Oryctolagus cuniculus: one gene and its partner. The protein of the gene in region 1 interacts with the protein of each later gene in a pairwise test. Links are inferred from orthologs where the notes say so. Each region holds a gene or a part of one and is shown on either strand. Other genes may lie near its edges.

Region 1 (5,793 bases):
TGAGGGGGCTTATGCCCCCCCCTGCCCCAGTGTGTTGGGTGGGGTGGAATTGAGGTTAGGGTGAGGGGGTAGGGTTTAGGAGGGTGCGTATGTTGGAAGGACAGACCTGTTGATCTGCCCTACACTGACATATGCAGCCCCTCCCCCCAACCCCTCCCCTCTCTCTTGGTCTCTACTCCCAGGGGGAGGGGGGAACTTACTCTAGGAAAAGCCATGTCTCTCTCCCCCAGGGTGGGGGGACCTGTGTTGGAGGAGGGGTATTGGGGGGCTCCCCTTCCATGACTTTGTCCCCTGGGGGAGGTAGGACAGGGCTGGGCTTCCCTCTCATCCTCCCCCCCCCCCAATCTCCCTCCACCTCTCTCCCTCCCGCCAGCTCCACAATTTTTCGGTGTTTCTCTGTACATAGCTCTCTGGCGGGATAGGGGAGGTAGGATGGATGGGGTTTGGGGTGGGTAGGCCATGGGAGGGAAGAAGCCCCTCCTTGGTACCCCCTCCTCCCTGACTGCTGTCCCCTACCCAGCCTTGTCCCCTCATCCCTTCTTGCGTTTGGTATTGAGACTTTTCCCAGACTCCTCCCCTCTTTCTTTTGTATGGACAGTTCCCCTTCAGTCCCATCCCCCTACACACATACACCCAGCCGGGGCCAAATTTATACTTATATAAAAGTTGTAAATATGTGAAATTTTATCCCTGTGCCCTTCCCTCTGCTTTCCCCACCTCAGCCTTCCCCTCTCCTGCCCCCTTCCTCCTCTCCTCTTTGGCTGTTGTAATTATCTGGGGTTTGTACTGTACATATCCGGGGTGTGTGTGTGTGGGCTGGGGGCAACCCCCCTGTACAGAGCTTCCTGGCCCCCTCCCCCCCGCCACCTTAAGGGTAGGGAGATGCTCTTCCTACCCGTTTTATTTTGTTTTCTCGTTCTCCCTCCCCAACCCACTCCCAGCCTTCTCTATCCCCCACCGCTGCCCATTTTTCTCCACTCCCAGCCCCATTTCCTTTTTTTCTGGAGTGTGTGGTGAAACAGAAAAATCATGTTTAATAAACGGAGATTGTTCTTTTATCGCTGTGCCAACTTTCTCAGCCTGGGGGTGACAGGACTTTTAATTTTCTGAGAGGGAGCGGACAGCCTGGAAGGGAAGCCGACATCCCTGCCCGATGCCGGTCTCCGCACAGAAGCGCTGCCCCGCGCGGAGACGCAGTCTGGGGGTTCGTACGGCCCAGACTTCCCCAGTCCAGCCGACTGGCACCCACCGCTTGCTTCACTTACCCCCAGGAGCAAAGAGGACGGGATATAAGAGAACCCAGAAACGAAGCTGGCTTTGTTTAATTGGTGAAGGGCACGATTCCGTGCGGACTGCAGGGGAGCACTCGGCGCCTCAGCTAATCTGAGTTCCAGACCCAGCACTGCCGTTTCCCCGGCCCGGACGGCGAGGACGGCAACGCCTTGCTCGCCGGGCCGGGGGCACACAAGGTGCCACTTCACCTCGTCCCCCAGCACCTCGGCGCTGCGGGCGGCTGGCGGCCCGCCCTCTCCGGGCTGCGGTCTCCCGAGCCACGGCTTCCCCTTCGCAGCTCCCCGAGACGCCCCCACCCGCTCGCGCCCTGGCGCCGCCGGCCCGCCCCTTCTCGCCCGGGCAACCAATCAACACAGGGCTTGTAGGGCGCCCCATTCCGATTGGCTGCAGTTGTGCCCCCCCCCCCCCGCCTCTCCCGGCGTCGGCGTCCGGCGGGGAGGGGTGGCTTCCGGCCCGAGACGGCGCCGTAGCTGCAGAGAGGCTGCGAGGGCCTCGCCGCGTGTGTGACGGCGGGGGCGTGTCGGCTGGGGTCCGGGGCTCGTGATATCCCCGTGGCTGCGGCTACCCGGGAGCTGGCCACTGCGGGCACAGTGAGTGAAGCGAAGCGGGACGGAACGCCGGGCCGGGAGTCGACCCGGAGCTGGTGAGGTTAGGCTGGTAGCCGAAGGACCTCCTCATCTTCCACAAGGCCTGGAAGCTAAAACCAGGGGTTCGTGTTTTGTTTGTTTTTGTCTTCTTGGTGGGCGGGACTGGTATACAGACACAGCCACTGGCCGGAAGAGTTTCTACTTGTAGGTGGGAGGGGGGCATTTGTTTGCGGAGATACAGTTCCCGTTTTCTGGGGCTTGTGTGACATCCCCCCACCCCCGCACCCCATCTCTTTTGCTCCACAGCCTTCCTCTCACGTGGGTTCCACCCCAGACTCCGTCTCCTCTTGCCGACCCTCTGGGATCTCCGAGGAGGCCATGGAGACCTCGACGCCTTTGCCTGCCGCGCCCCCCTCCGCAGTGTGCAGCTCAGCACCGCGGACAATCCAGATCGAGTTCCCTCAGCACAGCTCAGCGCTGCTGGAGTCCCTGAACCGCCACAGACTGGAGGGAAAGTTCTGCGATGTGTCCCTGCTGGTGCAGGGCCGGGAACTTAGGGCCCACAAAGCGGTGCTGGCTGCCGCCTCTCCCTACTTCCACGACAAGCTGCTTCTGGGCGATGCGCCACGGCTCACCCTCCCGAGCGTCATCGAAGCCGATGCCTTCGAGGGGCTGCTGCAGCTCATTTATTCAGGGCACCTCCGCCTGCCACTGGATGCTCTCCCCGCCCACCTCCTTGTGGCCAGCGGCCTTCAGATGTGGCAAGTGGTAGACCAGTGCTCGGAGATCCTTAAGGAGCTGGAGACTTCAGGTGGTGGGATCTCAGCCCGAGGAGCCTCCTCCTACCATGCACTTCTTTCCACCACATCCTCTCCAGGAGGCTGGTGCATTCGCTCTTCCCCTTTCCAGGCCCCAGCACAGCCCTCCGCTCCTGCCGAGAGACCTGCATCTACTGAGAGCCCCATCGGAGGGGAGGGGAGTGAACTGGGAGAGGTGTTACAGATTCAGGTGGAGGAGGAGGAGGAAGAGGAGGAGGAGGAAGACGACGAGGAGGGCCAGGGGTCAGCAACCCTCTCGCAGACGCCCCAGCCTCAGAGGGTATCAGGGAGTCTGCCCCGTCCTCACGGATCCCTCGCCTTGCCCGTACCTGCTACTCCCCGCAGGCTGCCAGAGGGCGAAAATGCACCACTTGAGGTTCCTGCCGCTCCTGCTGCAGTGCCCCCTAAAATCTTCTACATTAAGCAGGAACCCTTTGAGTCTAAGGAGGAGTTGTCAGGAGGTGGAACCCAGTCTGGAGGAATAAAGGAGGAGACCAAAGCATTTCCTGGAGGGGACCCGGAGGGGAGTGGGGAGCTGGGGTTCTTGTTGCCCTCAGGCGTAGGGGCAGCATCTGGGGGAGGCGGTCCATCCTGGAAACCAGTGGATCTTCATGGCAATGAAATTCTGTCCAGCGGTGGAGGGCCCGGGGGAGCTGGGCAGGCTGTGCACGGTCCCGTGAAGCTAGGCGGGGCACCCCCTGCGGATGGAAAACGCTTTGGTTGCTTGTGTGGGAAGCGCTTTGCAGTGAAGCCAAAGCGTGACCGCCACATCATGCTGACCTTCAGCCTTCGCCCTTTTGGCTGTGGTATCTGCAATAAGCGCTTCAAACTGAAGCACCATCTGACAGAGCACATGAAGACCCATGCCGGAGCCCTGCATGCTTGTCCCCACTGTGGCCGTCGGTTCCGGGTCCACGCCTGTTTCCTTCGTCACCGAGACCTGTGTAAGGGCCAGGGTTGGGCCACTGCCCACTGGACTTACAAGTGACAGCTGAGGCCATCCACCAACTTGTAGGAGAAGGTAGCCATTGCTGCTGATGGATTCGTGCCCTTTACTACCCCAGACCTGGATCTCATAATCATGCCCAGTGGATAAATATGTTACGGATCTCTTGTCCTTGGGTGTAGGCCTCAGTCTGCCAGATTTGGAAACTCAGATTTCTCATCTCACCTCAGGTTTTTGCTAACCACCCTACAGGAAATAGTTTGTAGACCATTCTTAAACTGTTCACTTGCCCATAGTAGACTTTTTTATAGTGGTAGTATCCATGGAGGAAACCAGGTTTCAGATTGGAAGGTTATTTGGTGAGGGAACAATGAACAGCAAAAAGACGTACATAGTGGTCAGTGTTTTGTTCGGTCTCCATGAGGAGTTAAAGAGCTGGTCTCCAGTCAGGGATATGTTTCATTCAGAGGTCTAGTAATTGAGACTCAGCTCTAAACTGTGCTCTCCCTCATCATGGCTGGAATGATGTGAGCAGAGTTCTTATGTACGCTTTGTTCCCTCAGATTGTACCTAGCTTTCTCACCAGTAGGCACCTTTCCAACACTTTTTTTTTAACGTTGTAGTGAGCACTTTAAGCCGAGCATTCCACATGTCATTCCTAGAACCCTCTTTGATGGAGGGTATTCCCTCAACAATTAGTGCCTCTTGTCTACCTTTGACCACAACTAATAACTCGTATTTTGATCACAGTGACTGGAATGTGATCATTGAACTCAGGAGATGGCAGCTGACCTAACATGCTCTCAGGGTAGCACCACTGCTCTCTGAACAAGTTGCCATGGTCGGAGGAGCTCAGGGCCGAGACAGCGCATGCTGAACACTAGAGAGGAACTGCACAGTGGGACCATACGCCGCCTGCTTCTGCATCCCACCCACGTGTGACAGAGACAGCTCCTCTGTGGAGAGGTATAGGGGTAGATAGCGGAATTAGGGGCAGGGGAATCTACAGTTTCCTAATTGCCTAATTTCTTCTAATAAACTCTGCCCTGAAATCTAAACTGACAGTGGGCTAGATTGAATAATTTGTGTGAGAACAGAGCTAGACTTGGATGCATTTTTGTACTAGCTTTTCTTGATGAGAGAAGAGTTGGATGATTTCACACTGGTGGAGAGAACATTGCTCTGGATTTAGGCCTTGACCTTCCTCTGAGTAACTGCAAGCAGCCTAGTTTACTTTTCAGAACTGTTACCATTTGTTATGCTGGGGTGGGTGATGTGCACTTCCTAACTGGTTCTCTGTATTTTATTAAAGGGGTTGGTTCACGTGATCTTTACCTATAATATTCCCTGACTTCCTGTGTTACGTATATTCGGGTGTTGCTTTGCTTATTCTACAAACATCTAGTGCAAAACACTGTATCAGACCCTGGTTAATACTCTGCCCTGGAAAACTTCACAGCTACTACCAAAGTGACAAACAATTACAATGTGGTATGATAAATCAGTGATAGTGTGACTACAGTGCCACAAAGGAAGCTTGAGTAAAATCTCTTTTTATAGGTGCCCTGGGGTTTCACAAATGTAACTTCTGTGTGGCCATGGGAGTGGGTGGCTAAAGTGATGAACTAGTAAACACAGTAGTTGAAGTGAGGACTATAGGGCCAGGGATGACAACCTTCCCCAAAATGTGTTTCTCAAAAGTTACCAGATGGGGCTGGCACAGTGGCATAACAGGTAAAGCCACCACCTGCAGTGCTGGCATCCCTTATGGGCACCAGTTCGAGTGGCTGCTCCACTTCTGATCCAGCTCTCTGCTATGGCCTGGGAAAGCAGTAGAAGATGGCCTAAGTGCTTGGGCCCCTGTACCTGTGTGGGAGACCTGGGAAGAAGCTCCTGGCTTCTGGCTTTGGATTGGCCCAGCTGCGACCGTTGTGGCTATTTAGGGAGTGAACCAGCAGATGGAAGACTCTCTGCTTCTGCTTCTCTGTAAATCTGCCTTTCAAATCAGCAAATAAATCCTTTTAAAAAAGTTACCAGATATGACACTCACAAGGGCTAAAATGTGACTTTGTGCCTGAGAAGGTGAATTCTCCTAATTGGGATTTGTCTGCTTCTCAAAAGAGCCACCATTGTCCCATTACCATGGTAG
Region 2 (5,353 bases), on another chromosome or scaffold:
CTGACTGTAAAGGGAAAACAGAAGTCTGGCTGCACACGTGACTTCCCACGTGGTTCCATGTCACGGCCAGCCAGGGAAGGCAGGCTCTGAATGCAACAATCAATTTAGCAGCCAGGCTCTCTCTCTCTCTCTCTCTCTCTCTGATAACACTGAAAACTTCATCAGTAACAGAGAAAGACCTAAGTAAAACCATAAAGAAACACCAGTATGCAGAATAGCATGTGGCACAGGAGGTTAAGCCGCTGCTTGCGACACCGATATCCCACAACAGGGTACTGGCTGGAGTCCCGGCTGCTTCGCTTCTGATCGAGCGTCCTGCGAACGTGCCTAGGAAAACTGTAGATGACAGCCCAAGTCCGAGAGTCCTTGGGCCTCTGCCACCCACATGAGAGATCTACAGAGGAGTTCCTGGCTCCTGGCTTCAGCCTGGCTCAGTCCAGGCCATTGTGGGCATGTGGGGGAATGAATCAGCAGACAGAGGCAGGCTCGCTCGCTCACTCTCTCTGTTGCTCTGCCTTTCAAATCAATTAATCAATCTTTTTTTTTTTTTTTAATGGCTAAAATGAACACGTCGGAGCTGGGTGTTGGCCTAGCAATGAGAATGCCTGCCCGTGAAGGGCCTGGGTCTAGTACCCACCTCGGCTCCCGCCGCCAGCTTCCCACCATGCAGACCCTGGAAGGCGGTGGTGAGGGCTCAGTGACAGGATTCCAGCCCAGCCACTGCAGGATTCGGGCAGTGAACCAGCAGACAGGAGCTTCCCCTCCCCCTCCCCCTCCTCCTCCCCCTCCCCCTCTCCCACAAAGCAGAAGAGCCGCACCCTCTGAGATCCAGCAATTCTACTTCCGGACCAGCTGACCACGGGATAAAACTGTTTACCACCGATTATGCTCAGACTCAGAAGACTACAGTTCACTTACAGAATAGAAAGCGCTGATTATTTTTGACTGACATGGAAACAATTTCTGTCTGTAGCAAAGATAGCTTTAGAGTTTATGGTTTTATCATACTGCAGGGCATTAACCAACTTTGTAGCTAATGGTAGCTGGCACTTTTTAACTTTGACCTCTCTGCTTCTCATTTTCCCCCAGCTGACTCCCTCATGATTAAATTACACAGTATGCATACATGTGTACTATGTATACATATACACACAATATACATATAGATAAACTACATAAGATAGTAAGTATGCACTAGGGGCTTGCTCAATGAGAGCTGCTTCCAGCACTCCGAGAATGATTTGCCAGGGACATGGTAACGTTCTATTTCTTGAGCTGCTTTGTAAGTAAACGGAGGTGCTTAGTGTACAAGTGTGCTGCAAACGGGCGTTGTGGCAGAGTGGGTTAGACCACCACCTGGATGCCTGCATCCTGTGCCAGTGCCAGTCCGAGTCCTGGCTACTGTGCCTCTGATCTGGCTTCCTGTCAGTGCACCTGGGGGGCAGCAGGTGATGACGGACCGAGTACTTGGGCCCCTGTCACTCTGTGGAAGACATGGATTAAGTTCTAGGCTCCTGGCCTTGGCCTAGCACAGCATTGGCTGTTGTATTTGGGGAGTGAACCAAGAGATGTAAGTTCTCCATCTGTCTCTCTCTCTGCCCTTCAAATAAGATGAAACTAAATTTTTAAAAAAATTTTAAACTTTTTTTTATTTGAAAGACAGAGTTACAGAGAGAGGTAGAGACAGAGACAGAGACAGACAGAGCGAGAGAGAGGGGTCTTCCATCTGCTGGTTCACTCCCCAAATGGTCACAACGGCCAGAGCTGGGCTGATCTGAAGCCAGGAGCCAGGAGCTTCCCATGTGGATGCAGAGGCCCAACGACTTGGGCCATCTTCTACCGCTTTCCTAGGCACGTGAGCAGGGAGTTGAATCGGAAGCGGAGCAGCTAGGACTCGAACTGTGATGTCAGCGCAGTAGGCTGGGGCTTTAAGCCACTGCACCACGGCGCCAGTCCCTAAAAAAATGTTTAAAAGACACAAAACACTCCAGTCTGCAGCACATTCCTTCCGGAAAGCAAATCCTCACCCCACTGCCAGATGGCCTGACCTTTAGAAGCCACCAGAAGCCGTCTGGTGCTAATCTGGGAAGGCACAAGCCACAGACAGAAACACTACTTCAGATACAAAACAAAATGTGTGGCTCTAAGCATCACCTTTCCCAAAACTCTTTGGGGGGGTGGCGACAATTTAGCAATGCGTCTGGGTGTGGCCCGAGGTGCCCCGGGGTCCTGAAAGACAGCCAGGACCAGCACCCATGTCCTAGAGGCTGGAGAAGTTTCTGAGGACTTCTAGGCTCCGAAGCTTCATTAAGTAACACAGAAACCCCAGATGTGCAAAATGCTGGTTCCCGGGCTTCCCTCCCAGAGATGCTGACTTGGGGGGCCTGGGAGTCTGCATTTTCAGTAAATGCCGGCCAGCCAGTCGGTCAGTCGGTCGGGAGCATTGCTGAGGGGGGGATTGTGATGCAGGTGTTTGGAGGCCCTCTTTTGGCTTGGTTCACTAAAACCAGTTTTTTGGCCAGCCTTCACAGTGAAAGCTGCAAGAGCAGCCAGCAGGTCAAGGTCAGAGGGCAACCAGCTAATTGTGGCCCTGGTTGCTGATAAGATGCTTATCTCCCTAGGTTCTGGGCCACAGGGAGTTTTTGTTACTCCTCAGTCATTACCATCTCCAGTGACTGGGGAGGGGGAGCAGGTGGAATAGGCTGGGACGGAATATTCTGGAAGCCTTCCGTAAAGGGAGGCAGGGATCCCTGGGCTTGCTGGCCTCCCCTCTCCTAAACCCAGAGGCTACAGCAATGGGTGAGCGTGCAGCGGGCTGGGGGTTGCAGACAGGGAGCAGGCCTTCACAATGAAAAGCCAGGGGCCCAAGAGCCAGGATTCCAGCCCTGGAGCCAAGGCCATCTGCCCCCTCCTCACTGGCCAGCCTGAGACTGGGACTCAGGCACTCGGGGACCCTGGGGAGGGCCTGGGGCAAAGAGCATCAGCACCTCCCTGCTCCCAGGTACCGGGCAGCTCTGCTGAGTACCTGCACTCGACTTGGTAGTGAGTGGGCACCCAGCATCCTCACAGACCCAGAGAAGCGCTCAAGTAGGAAGTACTCAGCCATGAAAGTGATTCTCAAAATAAATGAGCGCCTTTTTGGTGAGTCACGATGGAACATGTATTGCCTATTATAGACTGAGGTCGAAGTTTGAAAGCCACGGTCTTGGGCATGACTGTTTCTGCAGGCCGCCCTGTGCGTCTGAAACACACAGCCCACTCCCGGGGCGGCTCGGCCAAGCTGTAGAAGCAGCACCCTGCTACGGAGGCGGGGTTGGGGGAGGGGGGGGACAGGGCAGGGGTGGTGGTGGAGAAGGGCCCAGCAGGTGGGCGACCTGAAAGCCAGGCCCTCGCCAGCCTCTGTCCCAGTCCTTGCACCCAGAGTGACACTGGACAGCTGAGCGTCCTCCCTTGTGGACGCGGAGACAACTGCCTGCCCACGGCGGCCCTGCCCAGGCTTGCGGTGCACGCCATAGGCGTGTGCCCCAGGACCCCACACAGGCTCTTGCCTGTGTTCCGAGTTGTGGCTCGCAGTAGTACCCCGCCCCCACCCCGACATCCAAAATAAGATTCCCCTCAAACAGCCACACAGGCTGCGGGGCTGTGGCTCTGCCAAGCAGGAAACCGAGGCTTAGTTTTCTGGCCACAGGTGCCCGGGAGGGAGCTCGATGCTGGGGCCCAGCGATCTACCGCCCTCTCCCTGTGTCCACCCCAACCAGAGCAGCCAGACCGTCCCAGGCCATCCCAGGCCCAGGAGGTGGGGGGCCAGTAGGCAAACCCAGTTGGGGTTTTCACACAGGAAGGAAGCGCACGCTGAAGTGGGGGAGGAGGCGAGGGAGGGCGGAAATGGCAGCTAAGCCAGCACCCAGAGGCAGCCACCCCGCCCCCAGCCTTACACCCACGGCACCAGGAAGAAAAGCAGAACCACTTCAGAAAGCGGGGGGGGGGGTGTGACGTAGTACACAGTGCCCTCCCCCCAAAGTAGGGGCCCCTCCCCCAAAAGTATGGGGGAAACACCACATGGGCAGAGGCTGGCCCAGAAAACCCCAGGTACCCACAGAAAGACACCTGGGAACCCCAAGCCCTCCCCTCTGCTCAGGCAACCGCCAGCCAGGCCTGCCCAGGACGGGGCAAGGAGGAAGGGCGGCAGGGGGCCAGGGGCTTACGTTACTGATCTGGTCCTGGGTCTTCTTGATTCTCTGGAGCTCGGGGGTGTCTGCCACCACGCTGAAGCCTCTGCCCTTGTTCTTCTCAAACTCCTCCTTGTAGCGCACCTGGCAGGCGGGGAGGGAGGGAAGAGGCACAGGAATCAGGTGGCCCAGCCTGTGGCTCCCTCGGAGGCAGCAGCCGGCGCAGACAGGGACAGGGACCAGGAGAAAGAGCCTGGTCGGAATCCCCCGCTCCAAGGCGGAGCGGAGCCTCAGCCGAAAAGCGTTAGAATAAAAATGACAGTGACAGTGACAAGCCACTAACATTCTGGGTGGCAGGCGCGCATTTATGCAGGGTCTTTGGAAAGTTCCCAGAATTGGGTATCAGGAAAACACTACACATGGATTTCAAAAACAATTTTGTGCCAAAACAAACATCATTAATTCCACTTTCCACCAACTTTTCTTAAAATACCCGCCTGTCTGTGTGCGGCTGTAGGTGAGCACGCACCGTTCATTCCACTTTACAAAGAAACTGAGCCACCGGGGCAAAGCCCCTGCCCATGTCACAGGGCTCAGGACAGGATGAAAACCCTTGTCCGCCTGACCCCTGACCCTTGTCTGCCTGACCCCTGACCCTTCACCCCAGCTCCCAGGCCTGGAAACTCACAGGAAGAACATTCTCCCCAGAGCTCCCACGCCTGCCCGGGCCTCACCCAAGAGGGGACGCGGCCCCACCTGCCAGGAGCTGGGGTGGGGATGGCCCAGAAAGGAGGCAGTGAAAGCCCTAGGCCCCAGGCCAGGGAGCCGGGCAGGCTGGACACCGAGGCCACCACACGGGAGGGGAGGGACGGGCTCCAGGGAAGAACGATGAGCCACCACTGCCCTCCTCCTCCGAGAATTCCATGGAAAACTCGAGTCAGACATCAGCAAGGACTTCCATGACACTAAGGGGTTTGCAACATGAGGAACAGCCTGTGGTCGCCTGGGGGTCCCACAGAACAGAGCAGAGGCTGGGACCCCTCGTGGGACCGGGAGCGGCCTCCTGGCCACTCAGCCGCCATCTGTTGCAGGCCCCACCAGCTGTCTGGACTTCCTCCACGGGCTGCAAACAGGTCAGCTCAGGACATGGGGTCAGGACCTTGGGGGTTTCCAGGATGACGAAG

Evidence for each region.
Region 2: the proteins of ZBTB9 (region 1) and LASP1 interact in binary tests that used the Homo sapiens proteins (3 or more experiments, as listed by UniProt). The two-hybrid records come from large-scale screens. The link is inferred for Oryctolagus cuniculus from reciprocal best matches to the Homo sapiens genes ZBTB9 and LASP1.

The regions. Positions count from the first base shown.
Region 1 is NC_091436.1:135,694,193-135,699,985, reverse strand, and holds ZBTB9 (zinc finger and BTB domain-containing protein 9), read left to right. Parts: upstream 1-1,716; 5' UTR 1,717-2,002; intron 2,003-2,186; 5' UTR 2,187-2,258; coding exon 2,259-3,686; 3' UTR 3,687-4,985; downstream 4,986-5,793. UniProt on the Homo sapiens protein: May be involved in transcriptional regulation.
Region 2 is NC_091448.1:23,293,799-23,299,151, forward strand, and holds part of LASP1 (LIM and SH3 domain protein 1), read right to left. Parts: intron 4,314-5,353; coding exon 4,206-4,313; intron 1-4,205. UniProt on the Homo sapiens protein: Plays an important role in the regulation of dynamic actin-based, cytoskeletal activities.